Oryctolagus cuniculus: one gene and its partners. The protein of the gene in region 5 purifies or fractionates together with the protein of the main gene of each other region. This does not show direct contact. Links are inferred from orthologs where the notes say so. Each region holds a gene or a part of one and is shown on either strand. Other genes may lie near its edges. The genes, in order: XRCC1, CHD1L, HLTF, LIG3, RNF146 and PARP2.

The links.
Region 1: the proteins of RNF146 (region 5) and XRCC1 purify together in Homo sapiens (co-immunoprecipitation; 3 studies listed by BioGRID and IntAct, with this or other methods). This does not show direct contact. The link is inferred for Oryctolagus cuniculus from reciprocal best matches to the Homo sapiens genes RNF146 and XRCC1.
Region 2: the proteins of RNF146 (region 5) and CHD1L purify together in Homo sapiens (co-immunoprecipitation; 3 studies listed by BioGRID and IntAct, counting the BioPlex papers as one, with this or other methods). This does not show direct contact. The link is inferred for Oryctolagus cuniculus from reciprocal best matches to the Homo sapiens genes RNF146 and CHD1L.
Region 3: the proteins of RNF146 (region 5) and HLTF purify together in Homo sapiens (affinity purification with mass spectrometry; 4 studies listed by BioGRID and IntAct, with this or other methods). This does not show direct contact. The link is inferred for Oryctolagus cuniculus from reciprocal best matches to the Homo sapiens genes RNF146 and HLTF.
Region 4: the proteins of RNF146 (region 5) and LIG3 purify together in Homo sapiens (co-immunoprecipitation; 3 studies listed by BioGRID and IntAct, counting the BioPlex papers as one, with this or other methods). This does not show direct contact. The link is inferred for Oryctolagus cuniculus from reciprocal best matches to the Homo sapiens genes RNF146 and LIG3.
Region 6: the proteins of RNF146 (region 5) and PARP2 purify together in Homo sapiens (affinity purification with mass spectrometry; 4 studies listed by BioGRID and IntAct, counting the BioPlex papers as one, with this or other methods). This does not show direct contact. The link is inferred for Oryctolagus cuniculus from reciprocal best matches to the Homo sapiens genes RNF146 and PARP2.

What each region holds. Positions count from the first base shown.
Region 1 is NC_091449.1:12,350,113-12,353,301, reverse strand, and holds the end of XRCC1 (DNA repair protein XRCC1), read right to left. Parts: intron 2,889-3,189; coding exon 2,795-2,888; intron 2,690-2,794; coding exon 2,557-2,689; intron 2,353-2,556; coding exon 2,301-2,352; intron 2,214-2,300; coding exon 2,074-2,213; intron 1,255-2,073; coding exon 1,164-1,254; intron 874-1,163; coding exon 798-873; intron 710-797; coding exon 596-709; 3' UTR 505-595; downstream 1-504. UniProt on the Homo sapiens protein: Scaffold protein involved in DNA single-strand break repair by mediating the assembly of DNA break repair protein complexes. Negatively regulates ADP-ribosyltransferase activity of PARP1 during base-excision repair in order to prevent excessive PARP1 activity.
Region 2 is NC_091438.1:49,981,772-49,985,352, forward strand, and holds part of CHD1L (chromodomain-helicase-DNA-binding protein 1-like), read right to left. Parts: intron 2,039-3,581; coding exon 1,924-2,038; intron 1,276-1,923; coding exon 1,167-1,275; intron 1-1,166. UniProt on the Homo sapiens protein: ATP-dependent chromatin remodeler that mediates chromatin-remodeling following DNA damage.
Region 3 is NC_091435.1:132,424,259-132,427,839, reverse strand, and holds part of HLTF (helicase-like transcription factor), read right to left. Parts: intron 2,567-3,581; coding exon 2,442-2,566; intron 1,966-2,441; coding exon 1,775-1,965; intron 650-1,774; coding exon 524-649; intron 1-523. UniProt on the Homo sapiens protein: Has both helicase and E3 ubiquitin ligase activities. Possesses intrinsic ATP-dependent nucleosome-remodeling activity; This activity may be required for transcriptional activation or repression of specific target promoters.
Region 4 is NC_091448.1:39,284,587-39,288,167, forward strand, and holds part of LIG3 (DNA ligase 3), read right to left. Parts: intron 3,561-3,581; coding exon 3,392-3,560; intron 1,986-3,391; coding exon 1,830-1,985; intron 323-1,829; coding exon 191-322; intron 1-190. UniProt on the Homo sapiens protein: Isoform 3 functions as a heterodimer with DNA-repair protein XRCC1 in the nucleus and can correct defective DNA strand-break repair and sister chromatid exchange following treatment with ionizing radiation and alkylating agents.
Region 5 is NC_091436.1:42,374,733-42,378,939, forward strand, and holds the start of RNF146 (E3 ubiquitin-protein ligase RNF146), read right to left. Parts: upstream 2,847-4,207; 5' UTR 2,707-2,846; intron 1,622-2,706; exon of another isoform or gene 1,483-1,621; intron 1-1,482. UniProt on the Homo sapiens protein: E3 ubiquitin-protein ligase that specifically binds poly-ADP-ribosylated (PARsylated) proteins and mediates their ubiquitination and subsequent degradation. May regulate many important biological processes, such as cell survival and DNA damage response.
Region 6 is NC_091443.1:54,400,958-54,404,538, forward strand, and holds part of PARP2 (poly [ADP-ribose] polymerase 2), read right to left. Parts: intron 3,201-3,581; coding exon 3,150-3,200; intron 361-3,149; coding exon 264-360; intron 1-263. UniProt on the Homo sapiens protein: Poly-ADP-ribosyltransferase that mediates poly-ADP-ribosylation of proteins and plays a key role in DNA repair.

The DNA of each region.
Region 1 (3,189 bases), on a different chromosome or scaffold from region 5:
CTGAACGTGCCCCTGAAACAGAGGGCAGCAGTCCTCCACCAGCTGCCCTGGGCTGCTTCCCGCCCCCTGGCCTTTGCACATGCCGCGGCCCCTGCCTGCTTGCCTGACACAGCTCAGCTCTCACTTGGAACTGGTAGAGCCTTGAAGGGCCCCCCTCCCACCCACCTCCTAAATGAGGTGAGGTGAAACCACACTGGTGATGCCCCCGGCGGCTTCTGGAGGCCCTGGGGCAAAGGGGAGGCCCCTGGAGAGCAGCACACCTCCCGGGCGTCCAGCCGTCCAGGCCTCCAGCCCACGGTCCACGGCGGGAGGACCGGGTGGCAGGACAGGCTCCCTGGGCTGCGGCACCATCAGATTCTCAGCTCCCTGCTCTCCCACACGGGCGGTGGGGCCGGGGAGAACAGGCAGAGCCCTGCCCCCCCAGACGGAGGGGCCATCTCCTCCTGGCCCCACGGGGGAGAGGAGACAGGCGTGGGGGACTCCTGTGTGCCAAGGGGCAGGTGCTGCAAACCAAGTCGTCTTTATTAAGCCCACCTCCCGTGTGCGTGTGCACATGTGCGTGTATGTACGTGTGTGCGCGTGTGCCCCGCACTCTTCAGGCCTGGGGCACCACCCCGTAGAGCTGGTGCGGAAGCAGCCTCTGCTTCTCGTTGCAACTGTAGATCCAGCGGGGGCGGACGAAGGCCAGGGACGGGTTGTCCATCAGGGCCTGCGGGTGGGAGAGGGGGAGGATGGGGTTCCGGAAGGGAGGGCTGCAGGACAATGAGGCCCCCCTTGTCTGCCCCTCTAGGACTCACCTCCTCAAAGCTGGGGTCCCACTCCTGTGCCGTGATCACGAACTGCACGCGGTCGCTCATGTAGTCCTCCAGCTCCCTGGCGGGTGGGGGAGAGGCTGTGGGCGGGGCCGGGAGCCGCGGGCTCCTCCTCCCACCCTCTGCCCCCTGCTGGCGGAGCCCGCGTTCTCCCAGAGGCCGGTGCGGCCGGTCAGTGACAGCGGCCCTTCAGAGCAGAGGACAGGGAAGCACCGCACGCAGGACTGCAGCTGTGGACAGCGCGGGCCCTGCGCTCCACGGCTCGCGCCCCCTGTGGACTACGGCCCTTCCCCCTCCCCAGCTTCTTCCTCCCACCACGACCCTGCGCCCTCCCACCCTCTGGAGACTGACCCGTTGAAGGCGGTGACGTATCGGATGAGCTTGCGCCGCTCGTCCCCGGGGAACTCCCCATACAGGAAGAAGTGTTTGCCCTGGAAGAAGTCTGCGAGAGGCGGAGAAGAGGCAGCGTGAGCCCCCGCCCCCACCAGTGCCACGACACCGGCCAGGAGCCAGAGAACGCTGGGCCCAAACGGGGCGGCAGGCAGTGGTGCCCAGCCCAACAGCGCCCCCCGGAGGCTGCTGGTTTGCTTCTCTGCTTGGAGGGAAGGCGCGATCCCGGGCCCCTGCTGGCGAGCCCAGAACCACGCTGCACCCACCTCTGGGGCTCCCTCCTCCCCAGGCAGCGTCCTCTCGCCCACCCCCGGGTGGCTTCCTTCCTCTCCATTCCCGTGACTTCCCAGGCCACCGACTGATGCTACCTGGGGGCTCTGGAGAATCAGAGTACAGCGCACCCCTCACCCATGAGGAGCCAGCTGCCAAGTTTGCTCAGTGGCCTGGGCCTCCCCTCCACCCAGGAGGCTCTGGCTCCTGCCCCCGCCACACCCGTGGCCACTGGTCCAGGATGATGACTAGTGTTAAAGTGAACAGGCATGCCCACCGAGGTTCCAATGGACAGCGGTGCCCGTGTCCCCCCACCCGACAGGTGCACCTGCGGGGGGTGGGTGAAGCACCAGCCCAGGCGGCCACTCACCTGGGGGACATGTCCAAGGGGTCACCCCTGGCACTGGGCTTGGAGGGGAGGAGGCAGAGGGGGTGGGGACAAAAGGGGATGTCATGGGTAAGCCACAGGGACAGGGAAGAGGCCTGGAGGCGGCCGAGGAGGAAGAGGGAGCCAGCAGTGAAGTGACCCCCGGACTGGCTGGGCCGGGTCAAGGCAAGAACGGACGGCACCGGCCCGCAGCAGGGACGGAGGGAGCCCCACCTGGGAGCTCAGGAACTGGCAGGTCGGGCGGCTCCGGCTCATCCTCGTTGTCCGTGTTCTCGTCAGTGGAGCCCGCGTACGGGTCCTCGCCGTTCTCGCCCTGGTCAGGGGGCCGCCTTTGGTCCTTCTGCTCCGCCACCCTGGGGAAGCCGAGGGGGTGCGGGTGAGCAGGTGGGGCAGATGCCCCGCAGCCCTGGAGCCCGGCCCTGACCCCAGCCCGGCCCTACCTCCTCAGCTCGTCCTCCGTGTCCCCAGAATCCTCGGCCCCATCGTCTTGTCCTGCGAGTGGGAGTCGGTGAGTGCCAGGAGGTGCTGTGTCTTCTGCAAGGCTGGAGCCCTCTCCCCACCTCGCCGCCTGGCATCTGGTGACCCGCCACCCACCCCCCAGACCCCTCTCCCCTTACACACGGGAGTCTGGATCTCCAGCCCTCCTCCCTCGGACCCAGGGGCCCCGGCCCCAGCCCTCCTCCCTCGGACTCTGACCTGACGGCTCCCCCTCAGTGTCTGTGTCATCCTGGGGAGCGGGTGAGGCTGCTTTGGTCTCTTTGGGGGTTGGAGGCCTCTGGGGTGAGCTGGGTCCAGCTGCCTGAGGGGGCCTGGCTTTGGTCTGGGGACGCTGAGGAAGGAGGGGCAGTGTGGGTATGTGGGGGGCTGGGGTGGGGAGTTGGGGCAACCACGTAACTCCCTGTCCCCCTCCCCACTGGCAGGGCCTTGGTCAAACCTTCCGGGGAAGCCTGGGGGCTTCGTCCCCACTGCCGCCGCTGTGAGAGCCACCCTCGTCCTCGCTGCTGGAGCTGGGTCCTGCCATGAGGTACCTGGGGGCGGGATGTGGAGTCCGGAGGGAGGCACGAGGCCGCTGGGGCGGCAGGAGCCCCGCATCCGGCAGGCGCTCGGGGCCTCTTTCCTGGCCTGCCCGCTCCACAGACCCCTGCTGTCCAGCTGCCCATCCAGGCCCCGGGCGTCCTCCCTCGCCTCCCTCCTCGTCCCGTTTTAGAAAGGGAAAACCAGACGGAAATCACTTTCCCTCTGGGAGCCAAAGTCGGCTTCTCCTGAGGACTCCTGCCAGCAAAGACACTTCAAAGACCCACGCCGAGCTCCCGGCTCCCAGGGCGCGGG
Region 2 (3,581 bases), on a different chromosome or scaffold from region 5:
ACACATCCAAAAGGCTCAGAAATAAAATAGTTCACTGATTTAGGTAAAGGGTTTGTTTTAGAATGATGGGCTCAGAATTAGGCTTTGGGCCGGCGCCACGGCTCACTAGGCTAATCCTCCGCTTTGCGGCGCTGGCACACCAGGTTCTAGTCCCGGTCGGGGCGCCGGATTCTGTCCCGGTTGCCCCTCTTCCAGGCCAGCTCTCTGCTGTGGCCCAGGAGTGCAGTGGAGGATAGCCCAAGTACTTGGGCCCTGCACCCCATGGGAGACCAGGAGAAGCACCTGGCTCCTGCCATCGGATCAGCGTGGTGCGCCGGCCGCAGCACACCGGCCACAGCGGCCATTGGAGGGTGAACCAACGGCAAAGGAAGACCTTTCTCTCTCTCTCTCTCTCTCACTGTCCACTCTGCCTGTCAAAATAAATTAAAAAAAAAAAAAAAAAAGAATTAGGCTTTGGTCCACTGATTGGAAGAGTCGCTAAGGAAGTGATGTGAAAAAGATTCAACACAAGGGAATTTCAAAAAGTTCATGGACAGGTGGAATTAAGACAGTTGATGGGGTTAAGCAGCTGCCTGGAATGCCCACAGCCCCTATTAGGGTGCCCACTGAGTTCTGGCTACTGTGTTTCCAAACCAACTCCCTGCTAATGCATGCTGAGAGGCAGTGGATAAGAGCTCAAGTGCTTGGCCCCCTGCCACATACATGCGAGACCCAGATGGAGTTCTTCAGCCTGGCCCAGCTCTGGCAGATAATAGATCTTTTTTTACCTCTCTGTTGCACTGCCTTCCAAGTAAATGCAAGTTTATTTTGCTACATAATAAGACTTTTGTATGTATAAATTTAAAATTGTTTTTTGAACCCAAATACTTAACTTCATTTTCCATGAACTTTTTGAAGCTACCTAGTACATTACAAAATGGCAATTGTTCCATTACTTCTCCCCTACACGTATCTTTTAATCTGCAGGCATCCAGGAAGGTTTCGGTGTATACATTAGATACAGACAACTTGGAAAGTGTTGGCTTGTGGCTCCCTAAAGAAGAGTAGAAGGAAGAAAGTGGCAGGAGAGGGTACGGCCTTGGATGACAGAACAGCACCAGAAAATGCACCAGATTATCCCCCTTGAGCTGAGAAAACATACCATTAGATAACACACAAAAGGATACATGTAAGTTGGGATGCCTCGTGCTGCCAAGTGTTTCCGAATAAGTCGCTCAGTACCATACCAGTTAAAATCTTTTGTGGCATGTCCAATACGTGGCAGATGAACACTTGCTATTAAAAAAAAAAAAAAGAGATCATGACATCTTCACTCATCAAAAGTTCATTGATGGTTACAAAATACACACAGGAGAAAATAACTGAAAGTTCCACTCAAAGAATACAATCACAATGCCAAAAATATCTGGGGAGGGACTGTAATAGGGGAAAAAATGAGTAATTCTATTGAGCACAAGGAGCTGGAGGCTCTGCGAATAAGGAGATGGAAGATGATTGATGGTGGAGTCACAATTAAAATAAGCAACGAGTATCTAACAAGCTAATCAATTCCATAAACATTGAAACACTTGGTTTAGAAGCTAAACTCAACTCCTTTGGCAGACAGTGTATGTTACTGGGGACTACGTCTCTCCAAGGGCAGAGACAATAAACAGCACATGATCAAGTTACTTCATCTGCCCTGCTCTGCTTCCTCATCTGTCAAATCACGATAAAAATACCCAGCAGATGGCGATGGTCCGCAGAGATAATGGGTATAAAAATGACTCGCAAAGGAAAAGCTGTAAAACAAAAGCTGAGGGGTTTCTTACTCCCGTGGTTTACCCTCACCATGCATGCTGAATGGGGTCTTAAGACTTCTCACCTCCCTTCCAAACTTAAGTCACAGTTCATTGACACCTGAGCAAGGTGTTAAAAGTTTACCTTTCTTTTTCTTTGCTGCTAAAAATATCTTCTTCAGGCCCTCTTCCAGGGCTGCCATCTTAATGCCAGAAAGGACATTGGAGCGATCACGGTGCTGAGCCACGACCAAGGCCAACTAGGAAGAACAACCATTAAAGGAGTGCCATGAGACAGCTATGTGGCCACCTGAGGGACCTGCCCATGGAGGGGACACAGCCCTTTATGAATCCAGCTCTTGATGTTCTGCCTCCTCTACCCTACTAAATGTCTGCCCTCATGCCCCATCATTTCCATTCTGATTTTCTGGTAACTTTATGTAGGCCTTTCTTCCTTTTTAAAATGACATTAAGGGGCTGGCGCTGTGGAGCAGCAGGTAAAGCCACCGCCTGCAGTGCCAGCATCCCATATGGGTGCCACTTTGAGTCCCGGCTGCTCTACTTCTTTTTTTTTTGACAGGCAGAGTGGACAGTGAGAGAGAGAGACAGAGAGAAAGGTCTTCCTTTGCCGTTGGTTCACCCTCCAATGGCCGCCGTGGCCGGCGTGCTGCAGCCGGCGCACCGCGCTGATCCGATGGCAGGAGCCAGGAGCCAGGTGCTTTTCCTGGTCTCCCATGGGGTGCAGGGCCCAAGCACCTGGGCCATCCTCCACTGCACTCCCTGGCCACAGCAGAGAGCTGGCCTGGAAGAGGGGCAACTGGGACAGAATCCGGCGCCCCAACCGGGACTAGAACCCGGTGTGCCGGCGCTGCTAGGCGGAGGATTAGCCTATTGAGCTGTGGCGCCGGCCCGGCTGCTCTACTTCTAATCTTGCTCTCTGCTATGGCCTAGGAAAGCAGTAGAAGATGGCCCAAGTCCTTGGGCCTCTGCACGCACGTGGGAGGCCCGGAAGAAGTTCCCGACTTTGGATTAGCATAGCTCCAGCTGTTGCAGCCAATTGGGGAGTGACCAGTGGATGGAAGACCTCTCTGCCTCTCCTTCTCTGTGCAACTTTTTCAAATAAATAAAACGATATTAAAACCAGAGTCCAAAGCATGTACTTCTTCCCCCTTTAACTAAAAAAATTATGTTTATATATGTATAGAAATATGCATAACTATTTCCTCAAACATTTATCATTTCTATGGTACAAACATTCAAATCCTTCCAGTTTTTGAGAGAAACACAGTCCATTATCTACTGCTGCTCTACTGTGCAACAGAAAATCAGAACTTCTTATCCATATCTAACTTTATAATACAGGACCATCAGTCACACTCTCCCCAGCCCTGGCAACCCCCGTTACACTGTCAACATCTACAATAAACTTTTCTAGCCACCACATGAGTGAGATTGTGCAGTTCTCGTCTTTCTGTGCTGGCTTATTTCACTGAATGTGATGACCTCTAGGAGTTGCATACGTGTTGCTGCAAATGACAAGATTCCATGCTCCGTTATGACTGAGTGGCACTCCATTATACAAATGTACCACATGTTCCTCACCCACACATCAGCTGACGGACAGCTGGGTTGGTGCCATCTCTTGGCTATTGTGACTAGTGCTACCATAAACACAGGAGTGCAGATGTCTCTTTGGCTGATCTCCTCTCTCTTGGATATATACCCGCGAGGAGGACTGCTGGATCATATGGTAATTCTATTTTTAATTTTCCAGGAACCTCCATAGTGAAAAACATTTACTTT
Region 3 (3,581 bases), on a different chromosome or scaffold from region 5:
TCCTTAATGAGTTGTATTATGAGAGTTAAGCATAAAACTGATTCTCAAACAATATTTGTGTGTGTATGTGTGTGTGTGCGCGCGCGCAAATTGTTGAAGTCTTTACTTAGCATATGAGTTGATCTTCTGTGTACAAAGTTAACTGAAAATGAATCTTAATGGAGAATAGGACTGGGAAGGGAGAGGGAGGAGGAGGGAGGGTTGAGAAGGTCAGAATGGTGGGAAGAATAACTATATTCCTAAAGTTGTACTTATGAAATTTGTATTCATGAAATAAAAGATTTCTTTGGGGAAAAAAAAAGACTGAAATAACTGCAATACTCTGAAACTGTTCTCCTACCTCTCAATTTCAGCATTGAAAAAGAAATAAAAAGCCAACACCCATCCAAAGAATATAAGCCAACATCCATTAAAAGAATATAACAATCAACTGACAGGACTAAAAGCAGAATTATAACTTTGATGTATATTTCCTTATATAAATGTAAGACAAATACTCAAATATTTGCATATATTATTTTACCTTTGAACTAGATGTCCATTCCATATTGGACTTTTTCTCACTATCACATGCCAGTTCTTCTGGAGGACATTCCAATAAATTATCTCCATGTATATCATTTCTGCATAAAGGGCACTTTGCATGTGGCTATATAAAAACAAAGTATGAGCAACACTTACAAGATGAACAAAAATATCAATTCTATTATTTCTCACAACAAAATTTTATTAAACTTGTTACATTCATTATTTGAGAAAAATTTGCTGAAATCCAGACAGATACAGTGTTCTAATATGTGTGCTAAGTAAGATGGGTAAAGGAAGGAGCAAAAGTATTTACCCTTAACCAAGCACAAGCTTAAAACACTAATTTATACCAATTGCAGGCAAGTACAGAAACCATGAATACAATGCCTTGAATGAAACTAAAATAGATCATGCTATTTGGAGTTATTCTTTAAGAAAAAAGTCCTTGTTAATTACTTACACAGCTATTAGTTTGCAACATGTGTTGTATCCATTTGTACTAAGACCCACTAATAAAATAAGATTACACCTTAAAAACTAGACTCTAACCACCATTACAATAAAAAAGATTATGAAACTAAAATTGATGCTAGAGGTCAATGCAATTCAGAATCATGATAATCCATTTTTCTACATGTATGTTATACATCAATTTAAAAACCATAAAAAAATCTACTCTAGCTCAAGGATTTCAGGATTTTTTCAAAAAATTCTATACAAATTAATCTAGACCTTCCTTATCCAAAACAATAGCAATTAAGCCCTAGAAATGTGACTAAGCCAAATTAAGGTGATATAAGTGTACAATATCACCAAAGTTTGAAGACTTAGCTTAAAAAAAAAAAAAGAGGCAATGTAGTATATCACATGAATACTATTCACATTTCAGATACATTAAATTAAAATGCATTAATGATTAAATTATGTTTTTAATACAACTATGAGGAAATTTTAAATTCCCTGTGTCTCTCACAAATTATCAATATATTGTTAGACAGCAATAATCTAGACAGCAGAACTAGGAAACTGTGAAACAATGCCTCCAAAATAATATCTCTTTGTGTTAAAGAGCTTCACTAATGAGAAGTATATTACCAATTAAAGATTAGAATAATTAGCTACAAAAGTTGTACTATTAAATCCAAGTACAAAACTTCTTATACTCTCTTGAACTTGGGTTTTATTATGCTACAGACAGGTACACCACTACAGAGAACACTGGACCCGTACTGAGCAAAACACTAACCTGCTCATTCTGAATGACTTGGCAAATACAAGGTTTACAAAATACATGTGCACAATGTGTTATCACAGGAACTGTTAAAGAATCCAAGCATATAGCACATTCTTCATCTGAACCTGAGCTCAGAATTAACTTCATCTTCTTTATTAACTTCTTTCGCAGTTCTTCAGGTGTATCATTCCCTAGAGAGAAGGCTGAAAAATTAATTTCAAAGCAAGATTTGTACACGACTTGACAAATTAATCTACTGAAGAGAAAGGAAACTTTTGCTTGCCACTGCATCTTTTTCTGTCCTAGGCAAAAAGCATGATTTAAATTTGAAATTTTGTGAAATATTCAGAAGTATAGAAACCAAATCAATTTACCTCATAGAGAATTACCAATACACTACGATCTACACACACCAGCACAGACTAAAAGGCAATTCCAATGTGATTCTTTCTTTTAAGGGTATCTTAAAAGAAATCTGAAAATCCTGGAAAGACTTCATTATAATTCCATTTCATTGGTAAAAAATTCTTGGATATATTCCCAAATGTCCTATACCAAAAGCAATGTCCATCTGACAGCACAAAATGACCAACCAAATTCAGGCTATGTAAAAAATTTCTGATTCTGATTTAAGTATTTGCAAAAAATATAATGGCATGAACTAATCATATTTTCTTACCTGAGGGACCACTGGAAGACACTGTATTTGTAAGAAGATGAGTATGACAACAAATCTGCCGCAATCTAAGTAAAAGACCCAAGACATCTGCATAGTGTGCAAGGACAGTCCCTTCATTAAAATACCTAGAGATAAAAATGTTAAATATTATATATCCTCTAAACAACATCTCCTCTGAAAATCATTCTAAATTAAAAATGAAAAAACAGAAATTTGCAACAATAAAGCCCAACTTATGCAAAACGGCTATCAACTGCAGTAAAAGAACGATAGGAAAACAGAACTGCAAATCTGGAACAGACATGCATTTCTTCAAAACGGAATGGAAAAATTACCTCTCATGTACAAAAACAGAAACAGGGCACATGCCTGTTGACATGAAATTCTCTGAACAATTTTACACAAAGAGCAGGGAAGGCAAACTGAGTGAAGAAACACATGGATGCCCTGTGTTTTCAGAAACAAGACTAAGGGCAGGAGCTTCTTACCTTACCTGAAAAAAACTCTACTCCCCCCATAGACCCATCTCTGTGAATGGCATTTCCATCCTTCCATTCACATGAAAAACTTTGTGGAGTATCTATGACTCTTCTCTCACACACACCATATCCCACCAATCAGCAAGTTCTGTTGGCTCTGAACAGTCCAAACATTTCTCATCCATTTCATCACTATTACTATGGTAAACACCAACATCAACCCTTTGATTATTGGCAGTGCTCTCCCTACTGATGACCTTATTCCAACAATCTAAATCTGAACACAAAAGCCAGAATGATCCATTTAAAAGGTAAATCATGGAGCTGGCATTGTGGCACAACAGGTTAACCTGCCACCTGTGACACCGGCATCCTGCACAGGCTCCAGTTCAAATTCTGGCTGCTCCACTTCCTACCCAGCTCCCTGCTACTATGCCTGGGGAAGTAGCAGAAGATGGCCCAAGTGCTTGGGCCCCTGCACCCACATGGGGGACCTGGATGAAGCTCCTGGTTCCTGGCTTTGGCCCAGCCCAGCTCCAGCTGCTGAGGAATGAACCAGTGGATGGAAGATCTCTCTTGCTTTCTCTGTTTCTCTCTCTCTCTCTTTCTGCCTTCCAAATAAATACATAAATCTTCTTAAACAAAGTAAATCAAATTATGC
Region 4 (3,581 bases), on a different chromosome or scaffold from region 5:
GCTAAATGGAAACCAGCCCAGTTATAAGTTGGTTCCTTTATGAGAGAAAAAAAATCTAAGCTCAAGGTTAAATTCAGAAATAGTTCAGAAGCAAAGACTAAACTCTACCCTAAGTGACATATTCTCTTTGCAGAATGACAGCACGCACACATGCACACTTTGTTCTCACACATACGGCCCCAACCAATACCTTGTGCACTCCCAGAGTCCCAAAAGGCAGTGGTTTTCCTGTGTTGTTGTCAATCAGGAGCACCTCAGAGTCCAAGATCATGCTGTGGCCCCCAGGGAAAGCCTGAGGGATGTAGTCCTTAAAGTGAGCCACCTGGAAGCAGGAAGGCAGCCCTGGTGAGGGGTGAACGGTGACAGGGACCTGCAGCCAAGCCCCAGAAGGAACACAGAACAAGGGATGGAAGCCCAGCCACAGGACAAGAGCGAGAGAGGTCATCTCGGTCACTCTGTCCAGACCTGGGAGAAGCTCAGCTAACATGGAGTCATCCTCTGTGGGATGCAGAACAGGAAGGGTTTTGGAGAAAAATGGAAGAAGCTGAGGAGGAGGAGGGAGGAAGGCAGGAGCAGGCAGAGATCAGTGCTCCTTGTAGAGGACAGACCTCAGGATGAGGAATGGGACAGGGAGAACAGACTGGTTAAAGACAAAGGACAACAAAAGGAGAGCAGGGTCTTTAGAATGAAAAAGAATATCTGGAACTGGACTTCTCTTGATGGTGGCACAGTCCTCATTCATGACAGCATCAGATAGGAGAGGTCCCACTGTAAGCCAGATAGTCCCTCCCAAGTGAGACCAGCAAGGGGTCCGGTCCCAAGTCCAAACCTGGCCACAGCAAACAGGCCGTCACCACCAGGAGGCTTGAACAGGATCAGCAAAGGCCTGCCCTTCCACCCCGCTCCCTTCAGTCCCCAGCCCAGCCCTTTAAAAACCAAAAACCTAGGCGAGGATGTGAACCTTGCTAAAGGGAAAGTGGGAGTCAGACATCTTCCTGCGTCACAGGAAGTACCCGTTTAACACCAGCCTCTCCAGAGCAGCTCCCGAGCGGCTGCGGCGCTGCACAGACAACTGAACCTGAACTCATGTTCCACGTGAGGTCACTGCTCGGCTCCCTCTGGAAGTCCTGCTTTGTTCCTAGCGCTCCAGCACAAATTAAGGCTGAAGTAAGCACCTGCCCACACAACACATCCTGCCAAAGGCCAGCGGTTTGAAAACCCGAGTTGGAGCTGGGCAAGAAGGAGGCAGCAAAGTCAGGAATCCCCCCACTCCTAAGCCGGTCTGGGAAGGACTGCGCAGTGGGCTGCTCAAGCTCTGTGGCAGCCGGTGGTGTCTGTAGATGTCCCCATGGTTACGTGCTTCTGTCAGAACACATGCTTCCTGAGGGCTGGAACTCTTGTCCATTTCCTTCAGTGCTACCTGTCCACTAGCTACAACAGTGCTAGAACATTGGATAAATATTTGCTGAGCAAATTAACGAATGCCAGTCCAACAGCTCCTCGGACACAATCCTCATCTAGCCCAGGAACAGCACACAGGTCATGGAAGGGCAGAAGACGTGCACAGCGACTCACCAGCTGAGCTCCCTGTCCCAGCAGCACTGAGGGCAAGATCCCTGTCCCAGTGAGCTCTCCTGACAAAGCCAAGGTTGGGCTGTGGCTCTCCATACTGAGTAGCTCTTTGTTATTGGAAGAGTCCAAAGAGGAATTCACTCACTCAATAAACAAACCCTAACGTGTCCCAGAGCTGGAATGCCTATGGAACTCTGGCCCTGAGATTCTCAAAGGCAGGTGGGACAGAGTCCTGGCGAGAAGGGAGAGACTCATACCTTGTGAGGCAGGACGGGTTTGAGACTGCGGCTGAAGTAGCTGAAGTGGTCGCCATTCTTATGCACCTGGACTCGCTCGCCATCGTACTTGATCTCGGAGAACATGCCGTTGGGACACTTCTTCATTGCGTACTCGATGGACTTGCAGGCCTCAGCCTTAGGGTAGGGAAAGCAAAGCCTGGAGCCTTTGAGCAACGGGCTGCTTAGCAAGGACAGCCAAAGAGCAAGGAAAGGGTTGTTCAGATCCTGGGACCACATGGCCCAGTGTAGGATCAGACAGGCTGCTGACGAGGTGATGGGAACCCGAGGGGCTGGGCAATGTTGGATTCTGACTACAAAGTCCTCACCAGAGCTGACATCGACCTTGCATTTTAAGAAATGTGAATGTTACTCGTTGTAGAACAAAATTCCATGGCAACAGGCCTATTTTTCTCAATAATTTAGACTCTTGCCTGCCTCTGGCTTTTTACTAGAGCCATCAGTTATCTCAGCACAAGAGGGAAGTAGAGGTAAGGTGGCTGGTGGGGAACAGCAGTTAGGGATCCCCAGGATAGGGCACTCAGACGCAGGGGTGCTCACGTACCTGTGCCAGGTACTCAAACAACAGCAGCTGCCATTGGGATCACACCCCTCCTCGTATTTCCTCCCTGCTGTGACACCTTATGTGACAAACACGGTTTCCGTTTTATGGATGAGAAACTGCAGGTCAGTTACATGGCTAGTGAATAGCAGCAGTAAGATCTGAATCAAGGCCTAACTCCAAAGCCTGTGTGGTTAACAGCACTAAGCTGTACAACCTATGCTAGTGCTTCAAGTGTCAGGCCACAGAGAGTCGGAAGGAATTCTTCCAGCAGCCTTGGCAGCAAGATCTCACTAATTTGGTGATGGCTATTCTCACATTCCTAGTGGGGAGAGAACATTTTCCTCTCCCAAACACAGAACCTTATGCTGGAGCTTTAATGTAACGTTAAGGCAGTTCCAGAAAAAGCATTGTACGCTCTGGGAAACCCAGAGTCTCACAGCAGACAGGGTAGTGGACAGGGTGGGTGCCAATGCACAGGGGAACCACTGCCAGAAACGACATGGACTTCTCATGAAAGGAACAGACGCCCCTTAAGCTTCCTCTCTCCCCAGGCCATCCCGTTACAGGAAGCCTCTGCTGCCCACTCTCAGAGCTACTTCCCAGCAAGACACAGAGCCTCAGAGGTTACTTACATATCCACGTGTCTTCAGGTAAGATAAAGCACCTGAGACGATGCTTCAGAGAATCACACATGCCACTCACACAAGAAAACTAGTCTGAGGAGGATACACAACTCATCTAACAGTCCACAGCTTGGTGGTGGCAGAGCTGGGACTGGGTTCAGGTCCTCCCACAGGATCGCCTGTCTTCTGCTTTGCTTCCACACTCCCATCAAGAAATGCTCCCTCACATCTCCACTCTCCTCAGACCTCTCCGGTCAACTCACACGAGCTCAACATTCACAGCCAGGCAGACCTCACTGTGAGGGATGTGCAGCTTGGAGAGGCGTAGGCAGCAGAGGCAGGGGCGTGCTCCTCACCAGCATGGGCTGCACAGGCGTCATCAGAGAGGCCTGGACGCTCAGAGCCCGTTTGCAGCCTGGCTCCTTCTCCACCTCCTGCTCATTGCGCAGGACCCGCTCCACCACGTCCTGCAGGTTGCGCGAGGCTTTGAAGGCTTCATAGGCATTGGGGTCGAGGGCATCTAACCTGCCAGTGGGGACAGGAGCA
Region 5 (4,207 bases):
CCTGCATGGGAGACCAGGAAGAAGCACCTGGCTCCTGGCTTTGGATAGGCGCAGCGCGCCAGGCCATGGCTTCCATTTGGGGAGTGAACCAATGGAAGGAAGACCTTTCTCTCTGTCTCTCTCTCACTAACTCTATTAAAAAAAAAAAAAATCAAGTCCTAAAGGTCATAATTGGAAAAATTTAAACTTATTTGAAACAAATGAGGTCCAACAATTTATTTTAAAGAATTATTTCTCTTATTATGTATCACTCCTTTTAAAAATACTACTGTATGGCAATCTATTTACTGACTTCACAATCTTCACACATAAGCATTACAACTTTAAATCCTCCCTAGAGAAAGTAGGTTTTGCATTTCATTTAAATAAAATGTGAACAAAAACTGACTTTAATTAACACATGTAAGTATCATGGCAAGCAACCACTTTGCAAATAACAAAGACTCTTGCTAATTATCTGTGTGACCTTGTCAAGTCATGATTCTCATGTCTTTTACCAGATTCCTCTATTCTGTAATTCCAAATTTTAAATCTTTAATTAACAGGCATTTAGCAATAGGTTTTATTTTTATTAACGCAAAGATAATATAGGCCGTGAGTACTACATAAGAATTTATAAGCAAACACAGGTGGCTGTAGCCTAGTTTTAACAAGTAGGTTTGTAGAGTCAAACTAATCCAGCATGTTTAAAAATTCAGATTCCTCAAGTCACAAGGCAATCAAACTAGGCAAGAAAATGCCAAAGGCTCAGTACTTTCTATTACTAGTACTAGAGAAAAACAACCAAACAACAACAAAACACACTCAAATTCTCAACTGACAGTGTGTCAGGTATTTAATACCAGTATATCCTTAACACATAAAACTATATTCTTCAACCAGATCAATGTTTTGGAAAAAATCAATAATATCTAAGTCAAGAAATTATTCTTGATCCTTTAAAAAAAAAATCTGCCTCCTTTCGTCTGACAACTCAAGTTGGCAGAAACTAAAAAAAAACATTTTGCCAGTTGACCTAACTCCTAAAGAAAAAATACCACCTTTTTTTTCATCTTGCCTGATGACTGGCTATTTGGAGAAAGTTTCCTTGTCAGCCTCTTAACAGACAAATCACAAAAAAATCTTCAAATGTTTAAGCGCCATTATTTTCATTTTGTCCCAACTTACATTACATTAGCTCATTTGACACTTAAACTATAAACCAAAAATAGGACTTAAAATGGTCCACTTTAAGATACACAAGGCCAAAACAAACATGATCAAAATCTATTTTTAGAGTGCTATTCACTCTTCAAGTTTTCTCTTTAAAATGAGGTTTACTTGAACTATTTTCATGCGTTTTCACAGCACCCAGACTCTGAACACAAATATCTGCTAGTCAAAAAAACAACAAACTCAACATCACAAATCCTATCTGTGGGGGTCATTTTCTGTGTGTGTCCTAACATGCTTATTCAAAAGTCTAAATATAGATGCACTTACTAAAATGTCCAAGGTCTTCCAAAATCTGTAATTATATACTGCTTTCAGTGCCAACGTTATACATCCACTTCCCACTTAAAAGTGTACACTACACGTACGGGGTCCGGTGGGGGTTGGGGAGTTGCGGGGTCCCTGGCACCTGAAATGTCAATCACAGGAAGAACAAAGCGTTTTCTATCCTTTCTTGGTTTTCTTCTCCCCTCAGTTCCACAGTTTCAATATAAACCAACAGGAAACAAGACGTCCCAAACTTGAGAAAGAAGGGCTCACTAAAATGGCACTCGGACAAGAGAAATATAAAAACAGGGACGGAAATGATGAACATGAAAAAAAAAAAAAAAAAAAGCGAATCTAGTTGCCAACATGTGTGTGTATAAACTTAATCCTGGAGTTACTCCCTGCGGGAAAGGACGGTGCCCTCTCCACACCCTCAAAAAGCAATGCTGCAGCCTCTCAGAAAACAAAATAGCGACCAGAAGGCAAGAAAGACCAGCACTCTCGGACCAACTGGACAGCAGGGAGGGACCTCCGCACCCGGCAACCAGAACAAAGCAACCACCTCCGCCGAGAAGCCGCAGGGAGGTCGGGCAGGCTCCGAGGCTCTCGGAGCTCTCTCGCGGTCCCCAAGAGTCCACAGCCGTCCAGACAACCGTGAATGTGCAGCGCTGAGTCTCGCCAGGACAAGGTGGGGCAGCTGCTCCCTTCAATGAGGCAAGACCCAGACGCTAAGCAGAAGCAGCAGTGGTGGGGAGAGAGAGAGAGAAAAAACAGCAGCCCAAGGCGCTCGGGATCACACAAAACGCGGGCACTCCATGTCCTAGCTTGCATCGGACCCCAGGCCCAAAGTCTCTGACTCCACACGGGGAACAGGTAACCCCTAAAGCATCTGGGTCCCTGCACCTTGAGGCCAGCAGGTCCCTCGGCAGAGGCCTGACCCCACGGCCGAGGAAGAGGAGAAGGACCCGGCGGCCACCAAAGACGGCGACGCGGACCCGGTCGAAGAGGCTGCGCAGTAATGGCCGCTGCCCTGCCTCTCGCACCTCGGCCCAGGCCAGCTCCGGCATCGCCACCGCAGGGGCTGCGGCCAAGCGGCCATGCAGAGGCCGTCACAGTCTTCGTGCCTGCGACAACAGCCTGAGCGGGGGCGGCAGGGAGGCCGCAGGGCCCCTCCCGCCTCCCGGCCACAGCAGCTACCGAGCCGGCCAAGGGCGTCCATCTACGTACCGGGCCCTGACCCCGCCGCCGCCCCTCTCCGGGCCCGACAGCAGGCCGACCGGGGCGCGTCGAGCCTGCCGGAGGCACCGCGAGTCGTGCCTCTTCCCCCCGAGTTTGGATCCCGGAGCAGCGGGCCTTCGCCGTGACCTCCGCGAGGGCGGCGCCTCGACTCCCTCCTCTCCGGCCACAGCCCCGGCCACCTCGCCGTCTTTTCTCTTCGGCCTCGGAGCCCGCAGCGGCCGGGGACGCGCGCGACCGTCACGTGACCGCCCGGCGCGTCGCGGGGGCGGGGCCGCGCGGGCCGGAAGTCGCGCCTCGCGCTCGCAGAGCTCGCGCCCGAGCCTCCCGCCGCGGGCCCAGGCCCCGCCCTCGAGCGCGCCGCCGGTACCCGCCCTCTCCACTTGCGGGAACCCGCCGTCCAGCTGCTTGGATGCTCCTGATCTCTTAGGTTTTGCCTTACTCGTATTAAGGGCAAGGAGCCCTGAAAGCGTGCAGATCCTCAAGGGAGAGATATTGCGTAGGGGAAGTAAGACGCGGGCACTACCAGCAGGTGGTGCTATTCAAAAATCCAATTTAAGACCCCAGAGAAGCCCTGGGGCGCCTAGCTGAGCTCTGGGTTGAAGACCCCTTCTGAAAGTACCGCTTGTTCTCTCAAGAAATAAAACCTTCTGAATGGCTGGGCAGTTTATGCAGAGGGGAAAAAATGGATTATAACCATGTTTTGGACCAATGCTTCTTAATAGAATCGAGCTAAGACGCCAGAGGAAGAAATTAATCTTCGCAAGAATCTGAAATTAAACGGGCAAAATGAATGCGAGCATGTGGTTTTAAACTTCAAAACACTGGCCGTGTTCTCCGTTTTAGCACCTACATTGCGTTTTTCCGAAACTGACTAAATGAGCTTGATATGTGGTAAAACGAACGAACAGGAGGGGAAAACGTGTCCTTTATCTTGAGTATATATTTCAACCTTCCACTGCAATGTCTTTCAGTGATGTTGCATTTTTGAGATTAGTGGGTGCAAGATTGGAAATCTTCCATGTCTTGATACATATAGAAAGCTGTACATTTTCCGTTATTCCCCTGAAATAGTTTATTTTGGGATCCTAATCATGGGTGAGGGGCATTCAAAAGGTACATGGAAAAAAATCACTTTTCTTTTAATGCCATTTCGACGAACTAGTATAGAATACTAATGAAGTCAATGTCCTCCAACTTTAATTCTCTACCTTCTTAGCCACCCGGTTTTACTCCTCTATCCTACACAACCCATGAACAGATAATGTACTTTAAGATTTCTGCTTGAAGAGAGAATTCTAATATTAACTAACAATTGGTAGTTAATGTGCTTTACATATATAACCTCATTTAATCCTGACAGTAAACCATGAGGTAGCTACTATTATTATTTCATTTTACAGAAACAGGCACCCATCTGGGATTTAACTTCAGTGGGAGGCTACAATAGAGTTCAGCTACTCCAGTTCTTCATATTATTAATTAGGAAATG
Region 6 (3,581 bases), on a different chromosome or scaffold from region 5:
GCTGATTTGTTACCTGCTCACTGTCGTCCTCTAGGAGCAGCACCAGCAGTCCTACTGCAAGTTTTCAGCTTCAATGGGCTGCTCTCAGTTTTTCTAATGGGAGCATCCCCCAATTTCCAGAAGCTCAATTTGATTTCTAAGCACCTCCTAGACTTCAGAGCCTGCATGTAACCAATTTAAACCCATAGGAACTCTCGGCCATTCACTAAGTTGTTTCTGGCTTTCTGAATGACAACTCACAAAATCTAGAATAAAATCATTACCTCGGCCCCATCTCATCCAAACACTGAAGTTCCTCTGGGCATCATCTTCTAATAGCTGAATCAGATAGTACTTGTTGTTGTTGAATTGGAGATTGGTCTACAATGAGCAAGAGAAAAACAAACATGAAAGGAGATAGTTTTGCAAATGGAAGTCACACAAACCAGACTGTTTCTTGCTAATTTTTACAAGGGAAAAGTTAGACATAAAGAATAAATTATGTCTATATATTAAGCTTGGGATTCTTAGGAATTAAAATAGGAACCTGGAATCTTCATTAAACCCTCTACCTAACCTCGAATATCCAGTATCAACCAATTAACCATCTCCTCCTGTTTTTTTTTTCTGCCTCAGCTCCCTTCATAGATTTTTTTCCCTAGGCCTTCTGTTTTTTTTTTTTTTTTTTAAAGATTTATTTATTTGAAAGGTAGAATTACAGAGAAGCAGAGAGAGAGAGAGAGAGAGAGAGAGAGAGAGAGATCTATCTATCTTCCATCTGCTGGTTCACTCCCCAAATGGCTATAATGGCTCGGCCTGGGAAGCCAGGAGCCAGGAGCTTCTTCCAGGCCGCCCACATTGGTGCAGGGGCACAAGGACTTGCACCATGTTCCACTGCTTTCCCAGGCACGTCAGCAGGGAGTTGGATTAGAAGTGGAGCAGTGAGGACTCCAACTGGCACCCATATGGGAGGTGAGCACTGCACGCAGTGGCCTTGCCCACTACTCCACAGCACCGGCCCCACCATCTGTGTTTTCTAATTCTCAATTCATTCCCAGTGATTAATTCTATTTCCCAAATGAAAATATTATAGGTGCTCCCTAGGTCTATAACTATTTGCTTGTTTGTTTAGATGATGTCTTCCTCTTTGATCATTCTACTTACATTTTTGATTTGTCTGCTGCAGAAGTTTGACAATGAGCTGACAGCAGGACAATGTGAGAAAGTGGAGGGGAGGAACAAAGAATTTGTAGAAAACATTGCTACATTTGTCCCATCTCTAATCTGACTCAACTTGGAGACATTCAGAGCGAATATGAGTATGACTAGTATCTACATTAAAGAGGTATCTGTAAGTCTCCAAGGGATGAGAGAGAGGAGTCCATAATAAAGCATGGCAGCAGGGGCTGGCATGCACCATGACAGGTTAAGCCACTGGCTGCTATCTGGCAATCCATTAGGGCACTTGTTCAAGTCCTGGCTGCTTCACTTCTGATCCAGCTCCCTGCTAATGTGCCTGGGAAAGCAGTGAAGGATGGCTCAAGTCTTTGGACTTTTGTACCCATGTGGGAGACCTGGAAGAAGCTCCACGCTCCTGGCTTCAGACCTCTCTCTCTCTTTTTCTGCCTCTGTAACTCCTTCCTCCCTCCCTCTTTAAGACATATTTATTTATTTGAAAGTCAGAGTTATATATAGAGAGAAGGAGAAGCAAAGAGAGAGAGAGAGAGAGGTCTCCATCCACTGGTTCACTATCCAATTGGCCACAATGGCCTGAGCTGCAGCGATCTGAAGCCAGGAGCTTCCTCCGGACTTTCCCACGTGGGTATAGGGGCCCAAGGATTTGGGCCGTCCTCTACTGCTTTCCCAGGCTGTAGCAGAGAGCTGGATTAGAAGTGGAGCGCCAGGTCTTGAACCAGTGTCCACTATGCCACAGTGGTGGCCCCCTCCATTTTTAAAATAAATAAATGAATCTTTAAAAAAATAAGTAGCTGGTGCCACGGCTCACAAGGCTAATCCTCCGCCTAGCAGCACCAGTACACCGGGTTCTAGTCCTAGTTGGGGCGCCGGATTCTGTCCCGGTTGCCCCTCTTCCAGGCCAGCTCTCTGCTGTGGCCAGGGAGTGCAGTGGAGGATGGCCCAAGTGCTTGGGCCCTGCACCCGCATGGGAGACCAGGAGAAGCACCTGGCTCCTGGCTTCAGATCAGCGCAATGCGCCGGCCTTAGCGTGCTGGCCGCGGTGGCCATTGGAGGGTGAACCAACGGCAAAAGGAAGACCTTTCTCTCTGTCTCTCTCTCTCACTGTCCACTCTGCCTGTCAAAAAAAAAAAAAAAAAAAAAAAAGTAAATAAATAAATAAAGCAAGTACAACAGCTAGTACTGGAAGGCTGAGCCTTGGTGAAGGCCAACTCCCTCCCATTCACATTATAAAGTCACTGGATATTAGAACAAAAAGAGGCCTTAATATATTTTCTATCCATTCATGATATGTTGAGTGGAAAAAGTAGTAATAAAGGAATACTAGTTGGTTGTTAAAATCTCCATGTTATATGAAATTTCTCAAAGCCAGTAAGAAAAAGATCATTAGAAAATGTAAAAAAGAATATAAATAGAGGGACCAGCATTGTGGCTCACTTGGTTAATCCTCCGCCTGCAGCCCCGGGTGCCAGGTTCTAGTCGTCCCAGTTGCTCCTCTTCCAGTCCAGCTCTCTGCTGTGGCCCGGGAAGGCAGCGGAGGATGGCCCAAGTGCTTGGGCCCTGCACCCGCATGGGAGACCAGGAGGAAGCACCTGGCTCCTGGCTTCGGATAGGTGCAGTGCGCCGGCTGTTGAGGCCATTTGGGGAGTGAACCAACAGAAGGAAGACCTTTCTCTCTGTCTCTCTCTCTCTCTCACTGTCTATAACCCTACCTCTCAAATAAATTAAAAAAAAAAAAAAAAAGAACATAGAGAGTTCACAAGTTCAATAAAAGATATGAGTTTGCAAAATGATTTGCTTCTCACAGAGCAGGTACAGAATGCCAGGGCTGAGTACTCAGGAGTTTACCCTGTAGTGGCTAATATAATGGACTTAATTAAAGGCCTTAATTAAATGATTAAAGATCTGGGCACTGAGATACTAGCAGCAGTAAACATCAAGAAACTCTGGTGGTCAACAGAATGGCTCCCTCATACCTGATTCAGCATGACATCATAGACCTCATTTCCTTCACTATACACGTGAGCCTGGAGAGGAAAAAGACGAGATCAGTATGGTCTCAGCCCTGACATTCAAAGTGAGGCGCTATGTTTTTCTTGTGCCTCCAGGTGTCACTTTCCATGGAACCTACCTGCCAGGGAAAGAAAGGCAAATATATGAGGGTACTTCAAAAAGTTAGTGGAAAATGGAATTCAAAATTAAGTTTATTTTGAAAGCTATGGGTATATGAAGGGTCTTTAAAAAGTTCATGAAAAGTGCATATTATGAAAAAATTATGAATGGATTTCAAAGTCTTTTTTTTATCAAAATAAACTTCTTTCCACATTCATCAGTAACTCATGCCATTACAGGGCAGTTTCTCATTTGAACACGAAGATGGTTCTCTCTTAATAATGACACCATTTTCT